Linked DNA regions of Saccharomyces cerevisiae S288C. Changing the gene in region 1 together with any one later gene gives a genetic interaction. Each region holds a gene or a part of one and is shown on either strand. Other genes may lie near its edges. The genes, in order: EMC10, KIN82 and RGD1.

Region 1 (3,114 bases):
CTAACAACACTGGTTTACAAAAAATTGGTGGTCTCGACAACCTAACAACCATTGGCGGTACTTTGGAAGTTGTTGGTAACTTCACCTCCTTGAACCTAGACTCTTTGAAGTCTGTCAAGGGTGGCGCAGATGTCGAATCAAAGTCAAGCAATTTCTCCTGTAATGCTTTGAAAGCTTTGCAAAAGAAAGGGGGTATCAAGGGTGAATCTTTTGTCTGCAAAAATGGTGCATCATCCACATCTGTTAAACTATCGTCCACTTCCAAATCTCAATCAAGCCAAACTACTGCCAAGGTTTCCAAGTCATCTTCTAAGGCCGAGGAAAAGAAGTTCACTTCTGGCGATATCAAGGCTGCTGCTTCTGCCTCTAGTGTTTCTAGTTCTGGCGCTTCCAGCTCTAGCTCTAAGAGTTCCAAAGGCAATGCCGCTATCATGGCACCAATTGGCCAAACAACCCCTTTGGTCGGTCTTTTGACGGCAATCATCATGTCTATAATGTAATGGAATGAAGAAATATTCTTCATTTTTGATAACTAGTACCTGTCATTCACGACATGTGAACAAATAAAAACATTTATTTAAAAATTTTATGTATTCAAATATTTTCGGGAAAGAGATAAAAGTAACGACACTTAAAAATTTAAAAAATCACAATACTTTATTTACTCAGTCTTTTGATCAGCTCCGGCACCTCCTTGTTGTTGCTTCTTTGCTGAGCCCGCAACAAAATTGTAAATCAATAGGCCTAAAAGTAACATTTTCCAGTTCTTTTGAAACCAAGACACCTCCTTAACCTCTTCATCTTCTTCGAATTGTGCAGTGCTTCCATCCTTATTCTTACTAGCTTTTTTATCAGCATAAGTTTTGGTTTTCTTCTTTAATTTGGTGACTGGTGCAGTAGGTCCCGCTTCTGGATATCTGACTGTAGCAGTAATAGCATCGTTAGTCTCGTCATATGATAACGACACTTGTTTGACCTCATTATCTTCATCTACATCCACAATTAAATCGTATTTTAGTGGTGTCCTCAGCTTCATGTAGCTAAAACATGGCATATCCAGCTTACCTTCAATCTGGGCATTCAAACAGTATTCTCCAGAAACTTCAACATCCTGTATATTAACGGTTGTTACTGTAACATTCCCATCGGATGTACTATCAATCTCAAATGTTCCTAGGGGTATAGCGTCTTTCGCATCATCTGAATAGCTTAATTGTAAAATATCAGCACAGAAAACCATGCTGGCCAATAAAATCACACGCAACAGCCGCACAAGCATCTTTCCTTCAATGAGTATTGTACAGTTCTTGTTAGATAGTGTTGAATAGTACCACCTTGTTTTTTTACTCAAAGTGTCTTTTATATACTTCTAATTATTCCTATATTTGGTTGGGTTTTTAAGTTACCAATGCAAATACAGTGGTTAGAGACCCAGCGCACGTATGCAAAAAAATACAGCGGAAATTTCAAGTAAAAATGTAGCTTCATAAAAAAGAAGCAGATTCCCTAAAATAAGCAATAGATCTTCACATATATCGTTATCATCCCCTTTCTTCCCTGTTTCAATGCAAGCTAAAATTATATATGCTCTGAGCGCAATTTCTGCGTTGATTCCGTTAGGATCATCACTATTAGCACCTATAGAAGACCCCATAGTATCGAATAAGTACCTCATATCTTACATCGATGAGGACGACTGGAGTGATAGGATATTACAAAATCAGTCTGTCATGAACTCGGGATATATAGTGAATATGGGCGACGACCTTGAATGCTTTATTCAAAATGCAAGCACTCAATTGAATGATGTATTGGAAGACTCAAATGAGCATAGCAATAGTGAAAAGACAGCATTATTAACTAAAACCCTGAATCAAGGTGTTAAGACAATTTTCGATAAATTAAATGAACGGTGCATCTTCTACCAAGCCGGATTTTGGATTTACGAGTACTGTCCTGGCATAGAATTTGTTCAGTTCCATGGTAGAGTAAATACAAAAACTGGTGAAATAGTAAATCGAGATGAATCTTTGGTCTACCGCCTGGGAAAACCAAAAGCAAATGTAGAAGAGAGAGAATTTGAACTACTTTATGACGATGTAGGATATTACATCAGCGAAATTATAGGGTCAGGTGATATTTGCGATGTGACGGGGGCTGAAAGAATGGTTGAAATACAATATGTCTGTGGCGGCTCAAACTCTGGACCATCGACTATTCAATGGGTGAGAGAAACAAAAATTTGTGTTTATGAAGCCCAAGTTACCATACCTGAATTGTGCAATTTAGAATTACTAGCCAAAAATGAAGACCAAAAGAACGCCTCACCTATACTTTGCAGGATGCCCGCAAAATCAAAAATTGGTAGTAACTCTATTGATTTAATCACCAAATATGAACCGATTTTTTTAGGTTCTGGAATATACTTTCTAAGGCCCTTTAACACCGACGAAAGAGACAAATTAATGGTTACTGACAATGCCATGTCAAATTGGGATGAGATTACGGAAACATATTACCAGAAATTTGGAAATGCCATAAACAAAATGCTTAGTTTGAGATTAGTATCGTTACCTAATGGACATATTCTCCAGCCTGGTGACTCATGTGTTTGGTTGGCGGAAGTGGTTGATATGAAAGATCGGTTTCAAACCACTTTATCGTTGAACATACTTAATTCACAGAGAGCAGAGATATTTTTCAACAAGACGTTTACATTTAATGAAGATAATGGAAACTTCCTATCATACAAAATTGGGGATCATGGCGAGTCAACTGAACTTGGTCAAATAACCCACTCAAACAAAGCAGATATAAATACCGCAGAAATTCGGTCAGATGAATACTTAATTAACACTGATAATGAGCTATTCTTGAGGATTTCTAAGGAGATAGCAGAAGTGAAAGAATTATTAAACGAAATCGTAAGTCCACATGAAATGGAAGTAATATTTGAAAACATGAGAAATCAACCGAATAATGATTTTGAACTGGCGTTGATGAACAAGTTGAAATCCTCATTAAATGATGATAACAAAGTTGAGCAGATAAACAACGCAAGGATGGATGATGATGAAAGCACTAGTCATACAACCAGAGACATCGGGGAAGCTG
Region 2 (3,761 bases), on another chromosome or scaffold:
GCAATCAAGGCTTAAAGGAATGAAAGAATCTTCTTTGACCTTCGATAAACCATGCTTCTTCCGCACATCTTTTATCTTGGCCCATTTGTCGTCACTCTGATCAGTTAAATATTCATCCTCAAAAGCGCACAGGTTAACTGACAATTCTTTTGAACAAAATTTACACTTCATCAAGAAAGATGCGGTACCTTTTGATGCCGGCATAGCATATTCTTCAAATGTATTGATGATGACTTTAGAATCGTGTAATTCTCTACAACTGGTACATTGTAGATCGAAGGCAAATTCTGCCCTTGATTCGTTTGTATTCTCAATTGAAACCTTGGTCACGTTTTCTGATAATGTTGCTTTCAGAACCAAAAATAACGGCATTATCGTACACAACCTGGTTTTCTTTATTGGTTAAGTTGTCTTTATTCAAAATTTTTCATTACTTCTTATAAACAGCTTCTTGACGCTTGTAATTTCATAAGTTTTTGATACAAGCAATGGAAACAAAATTAAGAAAATGTAGGCAACGAAGAACTAAATTTGAAAAAAAAAAAAAAAAAAATTTACTGCCAAGATCATCTAAATTATCTTATAGTAGCAAAGCTTGAGCATAAAAGGATCAATCTTTTAGTTTTTTATGGCAAAGTACATTTGCAGTAAGTAATTAGTGATGAGATAAACAAAGAATAATAATCCAATTCGAAATCAAAAATTCAAACAACAAAAAACATAATTTCACATATATATCTAATTCATTCACGAAAAACACGTCAGTTCCTTCTGTCTGTTGTAAATAGGATGCATCCGCAGTGAATCATGGAAATATTTCAAAACTTTCAGCCCAATCATTTTATTTGGTCAATGAAGCCATAAACGCTCCGTAATTCTAAGATTAAAAAAAATTCATAAAAATAAGGACCAATATAAATATATATATTTAATGTGCTAGTGACAATCCTAGTGATAAAATTGCAAATTATACTACAATTGGTCATGGTGAAGCCTAAACACACCATTACGTCTTCACAGTGTTATTCATTTTATTTTCAAAGGTATGCTACTACTAATGCACCAGTGTATACCATGATACGGTGAAAAGGGCATGTAATATTGCGTTAATTTGTCGATAACCTTTCTTTACGTTTAAATTTTTTTTTTATAACTGGCGACACTAAACTTCTCGATAAAATACAACATAAAAAGCAGTACCTAGCTAAGCGAACAACAGATAATAAATAGCTAAACATCTAGGTTAATAGCCAATTAGCAATACATTTAAGGATTGATAGTGTGGTATTTACAAGGTAATAGCCCGCTAGGCTATAAGGAAACTACTCTAAATTCACCTTCCATATATGTGACTGCCAAGAAAATATTACTAGTTATCAAGCTTTTTTTGTGTGCATTCAACTTCAACGAATCCTTCGTCATCAATGAAACAAAAGAACAAGCCAGAACTGAAAAAAAAAAATCAAAACCACTAAGAATGTCACATCCTTCCAAAACTCCTGCTGGCTCTTCAACTCTTCAAAGAATATCAAGATAAATATCATTATCTCCAGTGTGGCCGACCCATGCATGAGTGCGAGGAGCATTAAGTTGGATCCTGGGAAAACATGTCAAGGACATTCAATAAAGTACTTTTCATACTACAACAGACGCTAGAAGAACTAGAATGTAACCGTGAACTGCCTCTCAAACACATAATTATGATAGCGCCGTCTTCGGCATCCTTTTTCGGAAATATACTTTCCTTTTTCCCTCTTTCAGCTATATTGTTCAAGGAGTAACATAAGACATAATAACCCCAGTTTTTTTAGAGAAAGTTCTTCTTCTTTAATTATAGTATGTTTGAAACGTACAAGAATTCATTGAGTGCCCTAAGGATTACTGCAAACAAGGTTCAACAGTGTTGGTACACATGACTCAGCAAGAATACCGTTCCCCCTCACAACGCTTATCCAAGGGGAGGAGCATGTCGCTACCCAAAATATTTGCTCGTAATTTGAGATCTCTGCAAAACAATGCACCTCCTGGCAAAAACATCAATGTCAATTGTTTGAACGTCAATTCTTGTTCGTTGTCCGCAAGCCCAAGCTCACAAATTAATATGGCTTGTAATGGAAACAAGCAAGATCTTCCCATACCGTTTCCCCTGCATGTAGAATGCAACGATAGCTGGTCAAGCTCCAAACTTAACAAGTTCAAATCAATGTTTAATCATAACAGATCAAAGAGCAGTGGTACTACAGATGCGTCAACTTCAGAAAAAGGTACGCATAAGCGTGAACCCCGGTCGACGATACATACAGAGCTGTTACAAAGTTCCATTATCGGTGAGCCAAATGTCCATAGTACTACAAGTAGCACACTTATACCCAATGAGGCGATATGCTCCACACCTAATGAGATCTCAGGTAGCTCTTCTCCGGACGCGGAGTTATTTACCTTTGACATGCCCACAGACCCGTCATCCTTCCACACTCCTAGCTCCCCAAGTTATATAGCAAAGGACAGTAGAAACCTGAGTAATGGATCTTTGAATGATATTAACGAAAATGAAGAGCTCCAAAATTTCCATAGAAAAATCAGCGAAAATGGCAGTGCCTCCCCCCTGGCTAACTTGTCATTATCCAATTCACCAATTGATTCCCCAAGGAAAAATAGCGAAACCAGAAAGGATCAAATACCTATGAACATAACACCACGTTTAAGGAGGGCCGCTTCCGAACCGTTCAATACGGCAAAGGATGGGTTAATGCGGGAAGATTACATTGCCTTGAAACAACCTCCAAGCTTGGGAGATATTGTAGAACCGAGGAGATCTCGTCGTTTAAGAACCAAGTCATTCGGTAACAAGTTCCAAGACATTACTGTCGAACCTCAATCCTTCGAAAAAATTAGACTACTTGGCCAAGGTGACGTAGGTAAAGTGTATTTAGTGAGGGAACGCGATACCAACCAGATATTCGCCCTGAAAGTTTTGAATAAACATGAGATGATCAAGAGGAAGAAAATTAAACGAGTACTCACTGAACAGGAAATTCTCGCGACAAGTGATCATCCATTTATTGTGACACTGTATCATTCCTTTCAAACCAAAGACTATTTGTATCTCTGTATGGAATACTGCATGGGAGGGGAATTCTTTAGAGCCTTACAAACAAGAAAAAGTAAATGCATTGCAGAAGAAGATGCGAAGTTTTACGCCAGTGAAGTAGTAGCAGCTTTGGAATATTTACACCTACTGGGCTTCATATACAGAGATTTGAAACCCGAAAACATATTACTGCATCAATCTGGTCATGTCATGCTTTCTGACTTTGATTTATCCATCCAAGCAACGGGATCAAAAAAACCCACCATGAAAGACTCTACGTATTTAGATACAAAAATTTGTTCAGATGGATTCAGAACTAATTCCTTTGTTGGTACTGAAGAGTATTTAGCTCCAGAAGTAATCAGAGGGAATGGCCACACTGCAGCAGTAGACTGGTGGACTTTAGGAATATTGATTTACGAGATGCTATTTGGCTGTACTCCATTTAAAGGAGATAATTCAAATGAAACATTCTCTAACATTTTAACCAAGGACGTCAAATTTCCACATGATAAGGAAGTTTCGAAGAATTGTAAAGACCTGATAAAGAAACTACTAAACAAAAACGAGGCAAAAAGGCTTGGTTCCAAATCAGGAGCTGCAGACATAAAGAGACATCCCTTCTTCAAAAAAGTTCAGTGGTCGTTCTTAAGAAACCAAGACCCCCCTC
Region 3 (3,761 bases), on another chromosome or scaffold:
CATAAAATTTTTTCTTGTTGTTGGGTCTTCAATTTGTAAACAAACCTTGATCTCCGATGATAGGGCCTTTGGTAAAACACTATCAGGCAGCGACGCAAAAAAAGTTTTCAGCAGTGATCCTACTAAATAAATATCCGAATCAGAATGTGGCTTTGATGGTAGAATCATGGAAATGTTTGCGGGATCCTTATCAATTTCCTCCTTCAACTTGCTGACATCAAGTACATTTGCCGATTTTCTATAAATTCCTTCTTGATCAAGCCCAAATTTATCAATAACGTATATGCATTGGCGCACTATCGCAGGGACCATGTCTTGTTCGAATTCTATCAGTGATTCTAGCGGTACACCAAATGTTTTGAAATTTTTTTGAACACCGGGTGGCATATTGTTGTTAGTCTGAATGTGAGAAATCGGGCGATCCGAGTCTAAAGAGTTAATCAATTCTTCTGGAATTTGTGGACTATTGTTGCCAGGATCCAGGGTCTTTGTTATGGATGATGTGGTGTCGCTTGTTACAATGGAAGAAGACGGTGACATAGCGCCAGCCGCATTGCTAGTGGAAGAAATAGATGAAGCCATAGTAGGTGGTAACTGCTTGTTGGTATTTAAGGACGGTGTAGCACTGTTAAGATTAGCATTCGGAACAGCGGCAGTGTTACTACTACTGCTCAAAAATGGAGATTCATTATGAGTGGATATCATTCTCTTCGGGATGGAGTTTCTTGAAGGGTCCACGGCAAACTTTGGGGGGCTCTTATTTTTCTGACCATGATTCATTGATGGATGCTTTTTGTATGATACAGGGATCAAGTTTTTGTTGATCAGTAGGGAATGTTTTCCTGTTTGGTTATACTTGTTCAAAAAACTGTAAAGATCACGTTCATTGGAAACAGATCCAGCAAATGATTTCATAGATTTGGTGGAGTCCAATGGGCTTATTGTAACACCTGTATTCAGAACCAAATTTTCCGTCCATATCGTGTACTTCTGCAATTGGATAGTCATCGCTGTGTCTATTTCTAAAATCAAATCTTTTAATTCTTGAACAATTCTAGGTCTCTCCTTCGTTATGAATGTGTTTCTCAAAGAATTAGAATGATCTACTTTTTGCTTATATTCCAGATCGGCGTTATCGATTTTTCTTAACAATTCTTCTTCTTGTTCCTTCGTAGTTTTGGAACCTCTCAAGGTCAGCTTTGTTTTTGTTGGGTCAGTCATCCTCAATTTGTCCCAATCTTGGCACAACGAATTGTAACGAGATTGCGCCTTTTCTGCGCTGTGTATGGCATCAGAAACATCCTTTTCCAGCCTTTTGCTGTTCTCCTTGACAGACTTTCTTAATTTTGTCATTGTTAATAAAAGACTACTAATCTCGGAGTACATTTTCTGCAAGGCGGTGATATAACTCTGCTTTACTTGAGCCATCTTGCCATCGAATCCCAAAACTTCGTGAATCATCTTTTTTAAGGATGAATTTGTGGAACCCTGAATGTTGAAAAAGTGCTTATATTGCTTGGAGAGCTCCTGAACGTGCTCTTCTTCGAAGGCGTATTTCTTTCTAATAAATTTCATAAACTCTTCACAAGTCAACAACGACTGCTTTAAACGGCTCAACAAAGCGTTAATTGCCACATCGGAATTTAGCACCTTCTTGATCTCTGGCGTGCTAAAAAGGTGCGCCAAATCGTCGGTGCCACCATCGTGCGACGACTTCGCACTTACTGTGGCACTAGCTGGTTTCTTCGCAGTCTCTTCCATCTTGTCTATATCACTTCTCTTTTAATCTTCCGAGATTGTATGTTTTTACTTTACATACTATTTTGTTCACATTCTTTATTTTCTGGGTTCTTTTTCCATATATATCGAAAAAAAAGTCTATATAATGGCACAAATGGTGAATGCCAGCACAAGAAAAGGGGCGTATCTATATAAATCTATGCATCCTTGATCCTAGTTTGGCATGGGCTTGAGTGCGTACATCCTCACTGGGTACAATTCTCTTGGTAAGCCACGTTGTCTTTCACTGGCGATGAGCTTTAGGCCAGCTTCTTCGAAGATTTGCCTGAACTTAGCATCTGACCTTGTGACCGAAGAATCCGTTTCGTCGAAATCATCGGTATCTGTAGGTGTGTTATTTTCTTTGACCACGATTGTCCCATTAGGTTGCAAACCAACAATACATCTTTTCAGGAATGCGACGAGTTCTGCATCTGGCAGGTGTCCCACGCACCATTGGCACCAGATCAGCCAGTACTTGCCGGCATCGGGGGTCCAGTCCTGCATCCCTACTTCATATATTTGTCCAATTTGGCCTTTGTCTTTCAGCTCAGCCAATTCAACGTGCATTTGCTCGATAAAAGGCTTTACCGGTTCTACAAGGTCTATCTTAGCGGCGTGCTTGTGAAGCATGGTCTTGCTTACACGTCCAATCCCCGCACCAATGTCTACAGCGTACTTCACGTTGTTCTCCTGAGGCAGCATCCTCGACTTCAGTTTACGCAGGAAGTTATTGGATCCCAGGACATCCATTGTGGGTACTACTGTACCTTCTCCGTATCCACCTAGAACACCATCCACAGTGGCGTCCACATCCGTCCAATAGTCGATGGCATCTTCGTATTTGATATGGGAATCTGCAGGCACGTCCATCGTTGTTGTTTATGTATTCTTTCTTGGAGATGCTCTTGACACCGATGCACATTACCAGAGTGAAAAGTACTGATTAATAATTAAATTTTTCTTTTGATATTTTTTCTGAATATAAAGTTCTACACAGAGTCGTTACAATAGGTTATATACATGAGGATGTTCGTTACAGTAGGAGAAATAGAAAGCTCGCTAATTCTTACCCCAGGAGTAGATCCAATCGACAGAGTTTCTTATCTGTTCATTCCAAATATCTTTTATGCTCTCCCCCATGGTCCTGCTCCATGCAGTGCCATCATCCGTCACAACTAGCTTGCGGTTCCTGGTCTCCCCAGGTACCACTTCTTTTCTATCCACCAGGTCCTGTACCTGATGATCTTGTTTCAACCATGTAGCATCGTGATCGTAGAAGTAGCCATTGTTACTGTATCGGTACAGGTAAAAAACAGAACCGATTACTCCCACAGAGAGAGTCCACTTCACAGATCTTGCTAACGGACCCAATTTCGACATGATTCTCTCCGTTATCTGCTGGTTCTTAGTCCACTGTCTGTTCTGTCCCCCTTCTGTCCAAGAGATAGAATATAAAAAAGACTCATTATTTTTTTTTAGGTACTTCGCTTATTGGTGGTCAATGAGAAAAAAAATACTAAAAGCCATCGCCTCTTGGAGAAGAGCAAACTATCAAAAATCATCAAGCCGACATTTCCACATCGAGTCTCATAGTCTTTCAATCATGTTTCCCAGAGCTTCTGCATTGGCCAAATGTATGGCAACTGTTCATCGTCGTGGGCTACTCACCAGTGGTGCACAATCGCTAGTCTCCAAACCAGTCTCGGAGGGAGATCCAGAGATGTTTGACATCTTGCAACAAGAACGTCACAGACAAAAACACTCTATCACCCTTATCCCATCAGAAAACTTCACCTCGAAGGCCGTTATGGATTTGCTAGGTTCTGAGCTCCAAAACAAGTATTCTGAAGGTTATCCAGGTGAAAGATACTACGGAGGTAACGAAATCATCGATAAGTCCGAATCCTTGTGTCAAGCAAGAGCTCTGGAACTGTACGGATTAGACCCTGCCAAGTGGGGAGTTAATGTTCAACCATTAA

The links.
Region 2: mutations in EMC10 (region 1) and KIN82 together harm fitness more than expected from each alone (negative genetic interaction), as found in Saccharomyces cerevisiae (3 studies listed by BioGRID).
Region 3: mutations in EMC10 (region 1) and RGD1 together harm fitness more than expected from each alone (negative genetic interaction), as found in Saccharomyces cerevisiae (2 studies listed by BioGRID).

What each region holds. Positions count from the first base shown.
Region 1 is NC_001136.10:564,362-567,475, forward strand, and holds EMC10 (Emc10p), read right to left. Parts: upstream 1,280-3,114; coding exon 662-1,279; downstream 1-661. Other genes in the region: PST1 (Pst1p), read left to right, coding at 1-500; YOS9 (Yos9p), read left to right, coding at 1,566-3,114. UniProt on the Saccharomyces cerevisiae protein: Part of the endoplasmic reticulum membrane protein complex (EMC) that enables the energy-independent insertion into endoplasmic reticulum membranes of newly synthesized membrane proteins.
Region 2 is NC_001135.5:272,492-276,252, forward strand, and holds the start of KIN82 (putative serine/threonine protein kinase KIN82), read left to right. Parts: upstream 1-1,912; coding exon 1,913-3,761. Other genes in the region: YCR090C (uncharacterized protein), read right to left, coding at 1-372. UniProt on the Saccharomyces cerevisiae protein: Flippase activator that phosphorylates DFN1 and DFN2 and which is involved in the generation of phospholipid asymmetry in membranes by the inward translocation of phospholipids.
Region 3 is NC_001134.8:732,879-736,639, forward strand, and holds the start of RGD1 (GTPase-activating protein RGD1), read right to left. Parts: upstream 1,762-3,761; coding exon 1-1,761. Other genes in the region: TAE1 (N-terminal protein methyltransferase), read right to left, coding at 1,954-2,652; MIC12 (Mic12p), read right to left, coding at 2,842-3,162; glycine hydroxymethyltransferase SHM1, read left to right, coding at 3,386-3,761.